Nothobranchius furzeri: one gene and its partner. The protein of the gene in region 2 purifies or fractionates together with the protein of the main gene of each other region. This does not show direct contact. Links are inferred from orthologs where the notes say so. Each region holds a gene or a part of one and is shown on either strand. Other genes may lie near its edges.

Region 1 (6,492 bases), on a different chromosome or scaffold from region 2:
ACTTTAAGCAGAAGTTCCAGGTATAGTCCAAGTTGCTGAGGAAAACTGAAACATCTTCTATGGTGTTGACATTCAGCGTGTCGGCTGCATGAATCAGTCAGGACTGGTTAGACAGGTACACACATGAAGCAACACCTCACACACGTGGGCGTGTCATGCAGCTGGGAGTCTACATTCTTTCTTCTCATGTTGCGTTAATGCTGCTGCAGTGATCGCATTTGCACAACTACAAATGTTGCTTTACAGTTCTCAAAAACAACAGAGTACTCACCTTTTGTGCAAAAATTGTTGCAAAGTGTTTAAAAAAATCTTTGTGGTTCATGCCTAACAAAGAGACGAGTTACACTTGAGACACGGTATCACAGGTCTAACACACCAAGGTTTTATTTAGTTAGTAGATTAATCTGACTTGAACGCTTTTTGACTGTGTGAGGAAACCAAAGAACCCAGAAAGAGCCCACGCAGCCCTGTAGAAGATAAAAAAGGCAATCTGCTCACAAACAGATCTGCACATTCAACATAGACCTTCATGCTATGAACAGGCGGTGCTGAAACCACACTAACGTCCTGCCTGCACAGAGCATATTTGAAATTTAAATCAACCAACCAAAGGCACACCGACTTTATCAACTAGGTCGAATGAGTAAACACAGAATACCCAAATACAAGGTTTGCATTAGTTTTAGCTAACATGGAAGGAGAAAAAAACATAACAGTCATTCTAGACTTTTTTTGGGTACATAAAGTGGGAAAGAAATGTTTCAATGACAGATTGTGCAACACCACGGGTGCAGTTTCTCAAAAAGATGAGCAAAAGAACAGGTTTGATGCACAAATATGCACGAGTTGTGCCAAGCTTGTCGAACAGTTTATTTAAAAGTAAAACCAATAAATATTTTTAACATTAACGGCAAAACATATAGCTGTAGCTTTATTCTTTTGGATGTGTTCTGAATAAAACAGAAAAATCTTAAATCTAGAGGAAAAAGGTTCACCCAATATTCCATCCCAACACATCTGTTTAAGACATAAATGCACCAATTAGAGATGCAGATGACTGAGTGTTGATTTCTTTCCATCAACAGTTTGGAGCTCTCAGTTTTCATGCAAACAGGTGTCCAAGAAGTCAAGCTGCTCACTTGTGTCTACCCCAGAACCCCTCACAGTCACTAATGGCTGGCTTGATCTTGTCTCCGGTTGCACCCAAGCAGTATCTCCACTGATGAGGTCCATCTGGCACGCTGAAACAGCACCTACTTCTAACTACAGGCTGTAAAAATGAACGGTGGTGCATTCATGTTTTAACTTTAAAGCTCAGAACAGAAACCAGAACAGAAGCTTTTAGGAAACTGAGCTTCAAACAGAATCTTTAACACATTTTTTCTTCTGTTTTGGTTGAATATTCCAATCAGTCCATGTAGTCAAAGTCCTCTGGGATGCCAAAGGCTTTATTAATGTGGCCATCATCAAAAGAAAACTTCTTTTTGGTCCAGGACTTGATGGCAAAAACGTTGTCTGCAAAAAAAAAAAAAATAAAATAAAAATAAAGACAATTTCACCAATAAAGAAAAAGCCTTTTAATTCAGTCAGTTGGAAAAAAGAAAGGGATCGACACCAAGTGATCTCGCCAACAAAACCTATTAATCCTAGTAAATATTCAGGCTTTAGCCAAAGATTTGACTATTTCATGAAAAAAACCTCCAGACAGAAATGGAACCCGTGACTTCTGTGAATGCAAAAAATCTTCAGTCAACAAAACATTTCTGTTAACCAGCACTAAGTATTTTTAGCCTAACCAGTCAGGAGACTGGTTACCAGTATGACCAGCGGTCCGATCTCATTACGAAGTCAACAAATGCACAAGTCGAGCTAAGAGCTGGAGGAGGATGGCTGGATTGAGTCATCTATTAGGAGAGGCTCAAACTTAGTTTTTGTTTCTACTGTTGTATAAATAAATGCAGAGATCTGTTTCCATTAACTGTAATATAAAAAACATATAAAACAACAAAAATCTAAATTTACCATCGTCTCAAATCTGAAGAGTTAACGTCCAACAAAAGTCTTCAACCATTAGAACAACATCCCATAATATTTCCTTTACTACAACACAAGCCATAAAACTGATGGAAATGTTGCCTCTTGAACAACAGAACTACACAATCCCATAGAAAAAAGTTCATATTTTTAAGACGAGTTTCATTCATCTTGAATTGATGTCCATGTATAAACGTAAAAATGACTCACCTGTCCACCTGGAGACAGCTTCTTTTGCCACTCCGTTGGACTTTCCTGTAAGACACCAAAAACCTCCATTTATTTACCACTTCTGCATAAATGGTTTAAACAGCAAAAGAAAAATCTGGCAAAGGAGACTTTTAAGGCAGATCCTGAACTCGTAAGACTGTCGACAGCTCAGTGAGATGCTGAGAAGTGCGCTGAGTGCTACAGTCAATCTCACGCCTGAATTGTTAGATGTGAGTGATATTGCTGGTGTCTAACTAAAACAACATTGGCTTAAAAAGCTAAAACACAGCTACATAATGAACCGTAACCAGTCTGAGCTGCTTCTTCAAATTAAAATCTACAACAGGAAGTAAGAAAATCCAGTGGCAGAAATTACTTTACCTTCCATTTCACATAAGCAAATCAATCTGAGGTGAGTGCTTCCATAGCAATAAAACCACATTTTAACTTGATACTGATCACATAAGTATTTGGGCTCCATATGGAAGTGATTAACAACCTTAAGTTTAGTAAAGATAAACTACTACAGGTTAACTGCCACAACAGGGTTGGTAGTTTATAACTGCAGATGGGAGGAGGAAGTAACCGGATACAGCAATGAAATCTAACTCATTAAACTAGTGCTTCCAATTTGGACTTGCCATTTTATCCTTATTGCTCTTTTATTTAGCAGGAACAAGGCTCCTTGATCAAGAATAGTGTTTTTATAAAGAAAACTGGTCTTTAATTGATTTCAAAAGATGTTTATCATTCACTAACTAGTGGGTGTTATAAGTACAAATAAACTGTTGTGATTTTAACCCCATGTGTAACTGCAGCTGCCTAATCTGGGAACTACAGGTGTGAGGAGGACTGTTGATGAACTAAATTAACCCAAAACACAAGCCTTTTGCCCTGCTGTGTGCACACCCACCTCACCTGTTACTACAACTGGTTTATGTGGGCGTGGCAACAGCCTCGAACCAGAACATTTACAGCTGCGTGTGACTTGGCTTGATCAAGAGGGCGTTGTCTGTAGGTACACTTTAGTGGAATAAAACCAGATGGCTCAGCAGTTTCTGGTTCAACAGTGAGTCTGGAACTGACAGACAGCTTCTGATCAACCAAAATGTTTTAATCAATTATAATTTCATGTTTAAAGATACTGGAAATAAGAACTTTAGCATACAAGGCTTTCTACAAGTCTGACTTTAATCTGCAGCAGACAAAACACGAGAAACCTCAGAGCACAGCTGCACACGCCTCTACAAGGTTCAATCATCACTAAAGAGATAGTTATCTTTAACAAAACCCTGTGTGTGTGTGCATGTGCGCGCGTGTGCGTGTGTGTGTGTGTGTGTGTGTGTGTGTGTGAGGCCAGAAAGTAGATAATCAGACCTGCAGGCACGTAGACAGCTGGATGAAAACAAAGTTTGAAAGTAAGAGCACACAGGTGATTTCCCTTCTGTCTCAAATATTTGTCTAAGACATGTGGACAGCCTTGGCGGACACCACCAAGGCTGCCCTTTGTCACTGATACCATCCACAACTGTTATGGACAGGATATCTAGGTGCTGTCAAGGTGTTGGGCGGTTTGTTTTGGTGGCCTGAAGTTTTTTGTAGATATTGTGGTCCTGTTAACTCTCTTAGACTGATCTCCAGCTTTTACTTGGAGCGGTTCGCAGTGGAGCGTGAAGCAGCTGGAATGAGAATCAGCTTCTCTAAATCCGAGACCGTGGTCTTGGATCGGAAAAGGGTAGAATACCTTCTCCAGGTCAGGGACGAGGTCCTGCCTAAAGTGGAGAAGTTTAAGTATCTCGGGGTCTTGTTCACTTGAGGGAACAATCGATAGGCAAATTGGTGCTGCATCTGCAGGGATGCGAGCGTTGTACCAGACCGGTTGATCAACATTCCAACCCTCACCTACGGTCACGAGCTTTGGGTAGTGACCGAAGTATGAGATCGCAGATACAAGCAGCCAAAATGAGCTTTCTCCCCGGGGCGTCTGGGCCACCCGATTAGAGATAAAGCGAGAAGTAGATCTGCTGCTCCGCCACATCGAGGTGTCAATTGAGGTGGTTCGCGCATCTGGTTAGGATGCCTCCTGGACGTCTCCCTGGTTAGGTCCAACCAGGAGATCTAAAAAAGACCTAGAACACAATAGAGGGGTGGCCTGGGAATGCCTCAGGATAACCCCCGAGGAGCTGGCTCAAGTGGCTGGAGAAAGGGAAGTCAGGGCCTCTCTGCTTAGGCTGCTGCCCACACCATCCGACTCCAGATCAGCAGATGGATGGACACAGCAGCATTTATTGAATTAGAATACATTCTCAGAAAAAAGACCATTCTCTTAGTTAAAACCTGGTCACTTATACTCTTAGTGAAGTCAGGTATCATCTCCCTGGAGTTTAAAAAGAAAAAGTTCCTCTTAGCCATCGTCCACAACTCTGCAAATGCTCATGTCAGGGTCGGACAGCAGCTCCAGCACTACCTTCTCTGGCCAAAGCATACCTACTGTCACCAATCTGGGTGACAAAATGGACTCACAACTCACCTTTGACACCCACAACAAACACCAGTGTAAGACTTATTATTATCACCTTAGGCAAAACCACGTCGAATGCTAAGCCAGGCAGATGCAGAGAAGCTTGTCCATGCCTTTGTCTCCTCCAGTTGGACTACTGTAATGTTCTCCTCATCAGGGTTTCTGGAGAAACCATTCAGACTGCAATACATCCACAGCAGGGCTGCTAGGATATCTATTTACACACATATGTACGTAATAATACTTTAACTATGAATAAAAGTAAAACTGTAATTAACAAATTTTGTTAAAATGTCAACAATTAATTAATTAATTTAGCTTCATTTTCAACAGATGGAGTCAAACAAAAAAATTCCACTTATCAGCAACAAATCTGGTATCCCGATGGCTGGAAACCTTGTTCTATTGTTGCAGCAACAACCTCGACACACCAGATGTCACGGAGCTCTGAAGAAAATCGCGGGAGTCGTTGAAAAGGCAACAAAAAATAAGTTAGAACCAATCTACCAGTGTTGATGAGGGAAGCCTGTCATTAATATTTAACTAGTTTATGGTTCAAACAGCCATCCTTCACATGCAGAACGTTTCTGACTGCTGGCAGGTGGTATGTTCTGATGCTGAACCTTAAACTCTATAAACAGTGACAGTGTGATTCTTACAACATCTCACGATTCAATTCGATTCCAATTCTCGGGGTGAAGATTCCATTCAGAATCCATTCTCAATTCAAATCGATTCACAATAAATATTCTTAGCAACAAAGGATCAAAACCAGGATGTACTACTTTCTTCTGTAAGCTAGAAATCTGCCAGTTGTCTGATGTGGAGAGCCGTGAACGTAATGAAGGAGTGGGTTGCTCTGGAAGTCCATGCATCATTTACTAGAATGATACTTTACAGAAGCTGTTTGACTGCAAACAGTATAAGCAGAGAATGAGCTAGGAAAGGTTAGGTCACTGCCGAGCTGAGCTTAGATTTTAACATGTACTGTTTAACCATGAAATTTAAATGTAATAGGGTAAAACCCAGTGCATTTAACATAATGCTGCATTTTTGAAAATGGGTTGAAATATAACATGTTGGTGGAGCTGGGTTCCGACTATCGGTATGGTCTCCCTCTCCCCAGCGACAGCTCAGCGCATCTCTGATTGCAGCTGCGCCTGTCGGCTTGGGGAGCTCTCGGAGACCTCTGTGTTCCACCCAGTTTTACCCAGTGGTCAGCACGGCGGATCTCTGACTCAGAAGCTCCGGTGTTGTGCACAGTTATCTCCGGTTGTAGCTAGGTAGCTACCTCCGATAGCTTAGCTCCCACCTCCGCGTTAGCTTAGGGCAGGGGTGGGGAACCCTGGTCCATCGAGGGTCGCTATCCAGCATATTTTAGTTTCAACCCTGCATCATCACACCTGATTTCACTCAGCAGGTGATTAACAAGCTTCTGCAGAGCTTGATGAGCTGCAGAACAGAACCAACCACTGAATCAGAAGTGTTGGAGCAAAGACATGCAGGATACCGGCCCTCGAGGACCAGGGTTCCCCAATCCTGGCTTAGGGGTAGCTTGTAGCTACATTGCTTCAGTTTGACGGGTGTCGTCATTTGATCCCAACCTTACAGCCCCACCCTCAGCTCCACCTTTTCCCTTTTTTGGAATTTTCTAGGTTTGACGGAACCTGTGACACGGTCAAAATGGCGGTGGTGGCCACCTCCCATTTTGGCTCAAAAATTTATAA
Region 2 (5,484 bases):
TTACATTCCCATAGAGCTGAGTGTAAAACACGAGAAAATTTCAACTTATGCTTTCAAACAGAAAAATGTTAGCACACATTTTAGCCTCATCGCTACAAAAATCTGACTTATTCCATTTATTTATACATGTGGTCCTTTTTTCCGGCGCAGCACGTCTGCCATTCCTGTCAACGGTCACTGCTCCAACGCTGAACGCAGCTTCTGTGGCGCCTCAGAGAAACACACTGGTGGTTTTAAAGTCCTCTGCCTTCAGTGTGGCGGTAAATAAATGGTTAGTTCCAAGAATGAGGCGGATAAATGTTGTAAATATGCCACAGGTCTCCAACAGGCTTTAGTGTTTAGTCACAGTTTAGCTGCAGGTGACCTGTCAAAAAGGTTCATTTAGCAGGTGTTGATTTTAATGAGCCTTCTTTGAATTTCAGCCCGATTTTAAATGCTGTCGTGTTTTCATGATCCGTGACGTCGCTCTGTGCTACAGTGAAAGCAGAAACTCTAAAATGCATCAGTTTGTTTTTTTTATTCCAAACCTCTGACTCTAGATTCTCTAGGATCAGCAGCAGATTTGAACGTTTTGTTCTTGTGGACATGATCTGCTGCGGAAGTCTGGCTCGTTTCATGTTCTAATATTTTTCTGTTTGAAATGTTTAAAAGGTTACGCACAGATAAAAACACACAGCCACTAAAGTCTCTCTAGTTTTTCCCGTAACGTCAAAACTGCACTCTTCCCTCTGCCCTGTTGTGTATATGTTCAGTGGACTGCTGCTGATGCTGTTTTGATGACATCGCATGGTGGCCGGTGGTGAATTAATCACCATCAGGAGAGAAACTTCAATTTATGGACTTAATATTTTATTTGCATACGAGAACATAAAGTGCAAAACCAACAGCAGAAAAGGGCAGGATCGTAGTTTTGTAGTGGTGACCAGCGAATGAGCCCAAAGCAGTTTTGGCAGTATTAACAACTGTGAAAATGTTGATTTAGAAACAGCTGAACAGTTCACTCTATATAATAATGTATGCAGCAAACTATCTGAAGCCTGTTAGAGGTTTGAATCATTTGCTGACTTTCTATGTAAGCTCAGGATAATGAAGATGCTTTAAAGGGGAGAAAACACCACAGTTGCCTTTAGGGTCACAATCAGCCCTCGATGCAGTAGCTACATGTAGTCTAGCCAATAAGAATGCTAACTTTTGTACAAATGTGTTTGATTTTTTTTCCTTTTATTATTTATTCGAAAGAAATGTTAAATAAAGTGGCTCAAAAAGCTCCGATGTGTGGTCCACTTCCTTGTTCAAGAACTTGGAACCACCACCTTACAGTCCTCGTCCGTCTCCACGCCAACCTCTTCCTGTAGAAGAACAAAGCTTGGAGGATTTGTTTTTCCATGTAGGAAATGTGATGTTGCTTCTTCAGCTCACCAGGAACTCCTTTTTGCTCTTTGGATATCCCTCCAGGATGGCGTTCATCATCTCTGAAGCCTGACAGACCCAAATAATTATTAAATGCTCGTTGCTGAAAACGTATCTGGTGTGAAGGCATTTCTAACTCCAAATGAATACATGTACCAATCTCTTCCTCTTTTTCCACTCCTTCACATAAACCTCTTGCTCTTTGTAAACCTGCAAATGAAAACATGAACGTGTGTTTCAGGGGAAAGCAGACCACCTCGCCAGAACGGAGACTTTATAGGTGCACACCTTCTCCTTCTCCTCTGGTGTGACATGGTTCGTAGCTGACTTGATCTTCTCCACGCGTGCTCTGTATCCAGAGCACTCCGCTTTCAGCTCTTTAATCTCTGCCACCATCTCTTCTGTAGTGAGCGAACTGTTCAGGCCCTTCAGCTCTGTCATAAACAAGAGTTAAACTCTGGGTCAAGCTGCAACAAGAGGCACCAGTCAGCAGGGTCCTGTACCTGCGTCTAGCTGTCTGCAGCTCTGTGTGAGGGACTGCAGCTCTGCACCAAGCTCTGAGATCTGACCATCCATCGCTTTCAGGTCATCATCCTTTACATCTTTAAACTGATTCTGTTTGCAGAGATTAACAATAGTAGAGTTAGGCATCCCAAAGCATGCTCCTGCCTACAGCAACACAACAAACCTGATCAGCAAAGTAGATCTTCTGCTTGCCATATATTTTCTCCTTTATTTTGCCCTCCTGAGCAAGCAGCTCCATGGCTTTGACCACCGCCTGTTGGGTGAATATAGTCCAACAATAGAGCAATGGCTACACAACACCAGCCCGAGGAGCGGATCTCACCGTTTTGCCCAATCCATGCTGCTTCTGCAGATTACAGAAGACGTCCTGAGCGCTGTAGGGTCGGTTCTTCTCGTTTAGGTAGGCAAGGATGACTGCCGCCCCTACGACAGCGATACATTATGATTTATAAATGGTTTCTTCCTACACAACAAAAACTCAAATCCGTAGGTGTTTAGCTAACGTTAGCTGGATGCTAACCGAGCTAAGCGGTCATTTTATTCCCGACGAGCTCAAACAATCGTTGCCTGCTCTTGTTGGATGTCTTAAAAGTCAAATACGTCGCTTAAATCTAAGATATTCTATAATAAAGATCACCCTAAACATACCGTTATCTTTTTTACTCATTTCAACCTGTCCGTTCTCACGTTAGCTGCCCTGATGTTGAGTTTCGCGCAATAATTTGCGTCACGCTAAAGATCGTTTATAAATGAGGATATCTCACTCTGACAGGAAAAGTTTCTCGGAAAAACCCAGATTTCATTTGTTGCCTTTATTTTTCAATATAAGCATTTTTATTTATACTTAGCTAATGTTGTACACATTATTTGTATCTTCAGCAGTTCTTTTCCATTATGTTTGCGTGGTTTCCAAAACAAAGTGAGACCCCTGTCATTTTGACTAAATCTTAATTTGTTCTAAGTGATAAATAAGGTTTAAAGAGCAAGTCACCCCCAAATAAACTTTTTTTTTTGCTGATAAACTAAATAAACGAGTGTCTAATCGTGCTGCAGACACGTGTCGTCAATAATTTGGCATTTCAGTGCATCTTAGTTAAAATTTAAATATTCTGCCTAAAACTGGCAGTGTTGTGCCGTTGTCAGGTAAAAACTCTGCACTGTATTTTAATTTAAATCTGCCACCGCTATTGGCTAAGAGGTATGCTATGATGTAAACTGGTATGATGTCACAATGCTGTCGTGAGCCTGTGTGTGTGTATTTGTTAGCAGCTCGGCCTTCTCGGTCTGCCAGGCAACAGCATTTGTTGCATTTTTCAAACATGAAGTGGGAGTAGACTCTGGTAGGGGTTTACTTGCTCTTTAAAGCCATCCTGGTTTAGTTCAATTTTAAATGTCACACGCATTATTATTATTATTATGAGACAAAAATCTTTGCAAACATTTTATTCAATGCAGTTTCAAAACATCTGCAAACCAGACAGAGAAATCAGCACTAAGCACATCACAGGATCACCTCTGCTGAAGATTTGTTAGACTTTTCATGAAGCAGCTTGGAAGATTCAGACTGAATCCTACAAAGGGAACATTTTAGGTGTCAGCAAGATTCCATCAGTGCAGCTTTTTACACCACACAGCTGTATTATGCTGTGGTAAAAATCTTGCAAACTCGTGAAAAACAATAATAAAAATAACTAAAGAAAGATTAATGTGGTTTTCTATTAAAAACAGAATTTTAGACTCGATATTTGGATTTCAATAAAATCTTAACTTAATATTTTTTGGTTTAAAGTGCCATTTCCTCTTTCTTATTTATTGAAGAATCAGGCTGATCAGCTCAAAAGAAAGCATTTATAGATGAACAACTAAAACATTTTTTTAATCCAAATTTGATGTAAACATGGGTCAATTTAACAATACGCTCTAACAGAGAATTTGATGACGATCCCATAAAGTTCAGCCTGGCTGTTGAATCCATCAAAAATGATCCAATTTAAAGTGATTTGATCTGATCTGGGATTTCTTTACAAACGAGAAACACGTCATAGAGACAGCTCGTGCAGGGACAGCCAAACTAAAAATAATCAACACTATTTCCACACATTCATAAATATACTGCACAAATATAACAGTACTCTGCTGGTTCAGGTAAGACTGATGTGGCCGACTAAATAAGCTCCCAAAGACAGATGTTTGCTTCTGTAATCAGAAAAACAAAACAGCGGAGTCATCCTGACAATTCAAATTTTTATGCAGATCAGTGAAATTTTAGAAAACACAACAGCTAACAAGAGTTTAAAAGCTAAAAGCTCTGAAAACATGCAACATAAAATAACCCCCCCTCTCATAAGAGGACAGAAACGTCCCACCACTAAATCCCATCTCAAAGGTTTGATAACTGGTTCATGAAGGATCGACGACTCCAGCAATGACTGAATGCACTTTAACATTAAAAGCTCCTTCATGCTGTCATTACTCATCAAAGACGGCTCAGGTTAAGCAACAGGAATGTCACATTTGGTCCTACAATAAAAAGCCCTGAAGGTCAAGTCCTCTGTGTAAAAAAAGGTTTCACAGGGCGGAGCTGTGTGTTCTGGGTACGAACAATGCCGTGTACCCAAATGTGTGATGTAGTTTACTTTGTTTTTGTGTTTCCTATTGCTCAGCCTACAACCTAAAAACTCCATCATCAAGAATTCAAACGTATAAAACAAGGATTTAAAAAGAGGAGAATGAAATACTTCACAGTGACTTACTGATGCCTACCAGAAGCAGGGCTGCTGGAACCTAAAATCACCTCACACGCACACACACGCGCGTGCGCGCACGCACACACACACACAATCATCATTTTACACTCTACCCACATAACTGCACACCCTCAGCAAAACACACACACACACTTCACTGTGGTTTACCAAGCAGGCTGGAGAAGAAGTTAGACCCCTGGCTGTCACCCCGTCTAGAACCCCCCCCTCCGAAGGGATCCATCTGGTTCAGTTCAGACTGATCCAGCATTTCAAAGTCTTCTGCATCCAAGTCCGTGTCAAACTCAGAGCTGGACTGTTTGCGGTAGCTCCGGTGGCCCCCGACCTGAGGGTGACCTTGCCTGCGTTGAGTGGTGGGAGGCCGAGGTTGCATTGCGCCCGCCAGCGCTGCCTGAATCATGTTGCTGGCAATGACTCCAGCCAAGTCTCCACTGATATCTGAGACAGGTGGAAGACCGCCGAGAGAAAGTTCTGAGTCCAGATCCTCCTGATCCGAGTCCAGATGAGCATCAACATCCAGCACTGAGGCCCGGTGACTAGCAGGTCCAGACAGACCCAGACTGGGCAGTCCGATGCTTGTGTCGTCTTCATCATCCATCAGGGTGGCATCGGGGTTAATGGATGGGAAGTCTGGGAGGTCTTGGGCAAAAGATTCTTCTGCGTCACTGTGTCTGTCGAGATCTGATCAAATGCAGACAGAAAGACGTCAGAGGAGAGATCAAAAAAGAAGATCAAGCAACAAAAAGCAGGAGCCTCACCTTCAGAGCCCTCTGTGAGCGGGGTC

The links. The genes of interacting proteins can lie anywhere in the genome.
Region 1: the proteins of psmc3ip (region 2) and mnd1 purify together in Homo sapiens (co-immunoprecipitation; 6 studies listed by BioGRID and IntAct, counting the BioPlex papers as one, with this or other methods). This does not show direct contact. The link is inferred for Nothobranchius furzeri from reciprocal best matches to the Homo sapiens genes PSMC3IP and MND1.

The regions. Positions count from the first base shown.
Region 1 is NC_091744.1:16,841,466-16,847,957, forward strand, and holds the end of mnd1 (meiotic nuclear division protein 1 homolog), read right to left. Parts: intron 5,213-6,492; coding exon of another isoform or gene 5,127-5,212; exon of another isoform or gene 4,882-5,126; intron 2,290-4,881; coding exon 2,245-2,289; intron 1,516-2,244; coding exon 1,409-1,515; 3' UTR 847-1,408; downstream 1-846. UniProt on the Homo sapiens protein: Required for proper homologous chromosome pairing and efficient cross-over and intragenic recombination during meiosis.
Region 2 is NC_091745.1:7,581,706-7,587,189, reverse strand, and holds psmc3ip (homologous-pairing protein 2 homolog), read right to left. Parts: upstream 2,698-5,484; 5' UTR 2,603-2,697; coding exon 2,584-2,602; intron 2,359-2,583; coding exon 2,258-2,358; intron 2,189-2,257; coding exon 2,099-2,188; intron 2,026-2,098; coding exon 1,914-2,025; intron 1,845-1,913; coding exon 1,699-1,844; intron 1,621-1,698; coding exon 1,567-1,620; intron 1,480-1,566; coding exon 1,420-1,479; intron 1,350-1,419; coding exon 1,293-1,349; 3' UTR 1,071-1,292; downstream 1-1,070. Other genes in the region: retreg3 (reticulophagy regulator 3), read right to left, coding at 4,837-5,381, 5,459-5,484. UniProt on the Homo sapiens protein: Plays an important role in meiotic recombination. Stimulates DMC1-mediated strand exchange required for pairing homologous chromosomes during meiosis.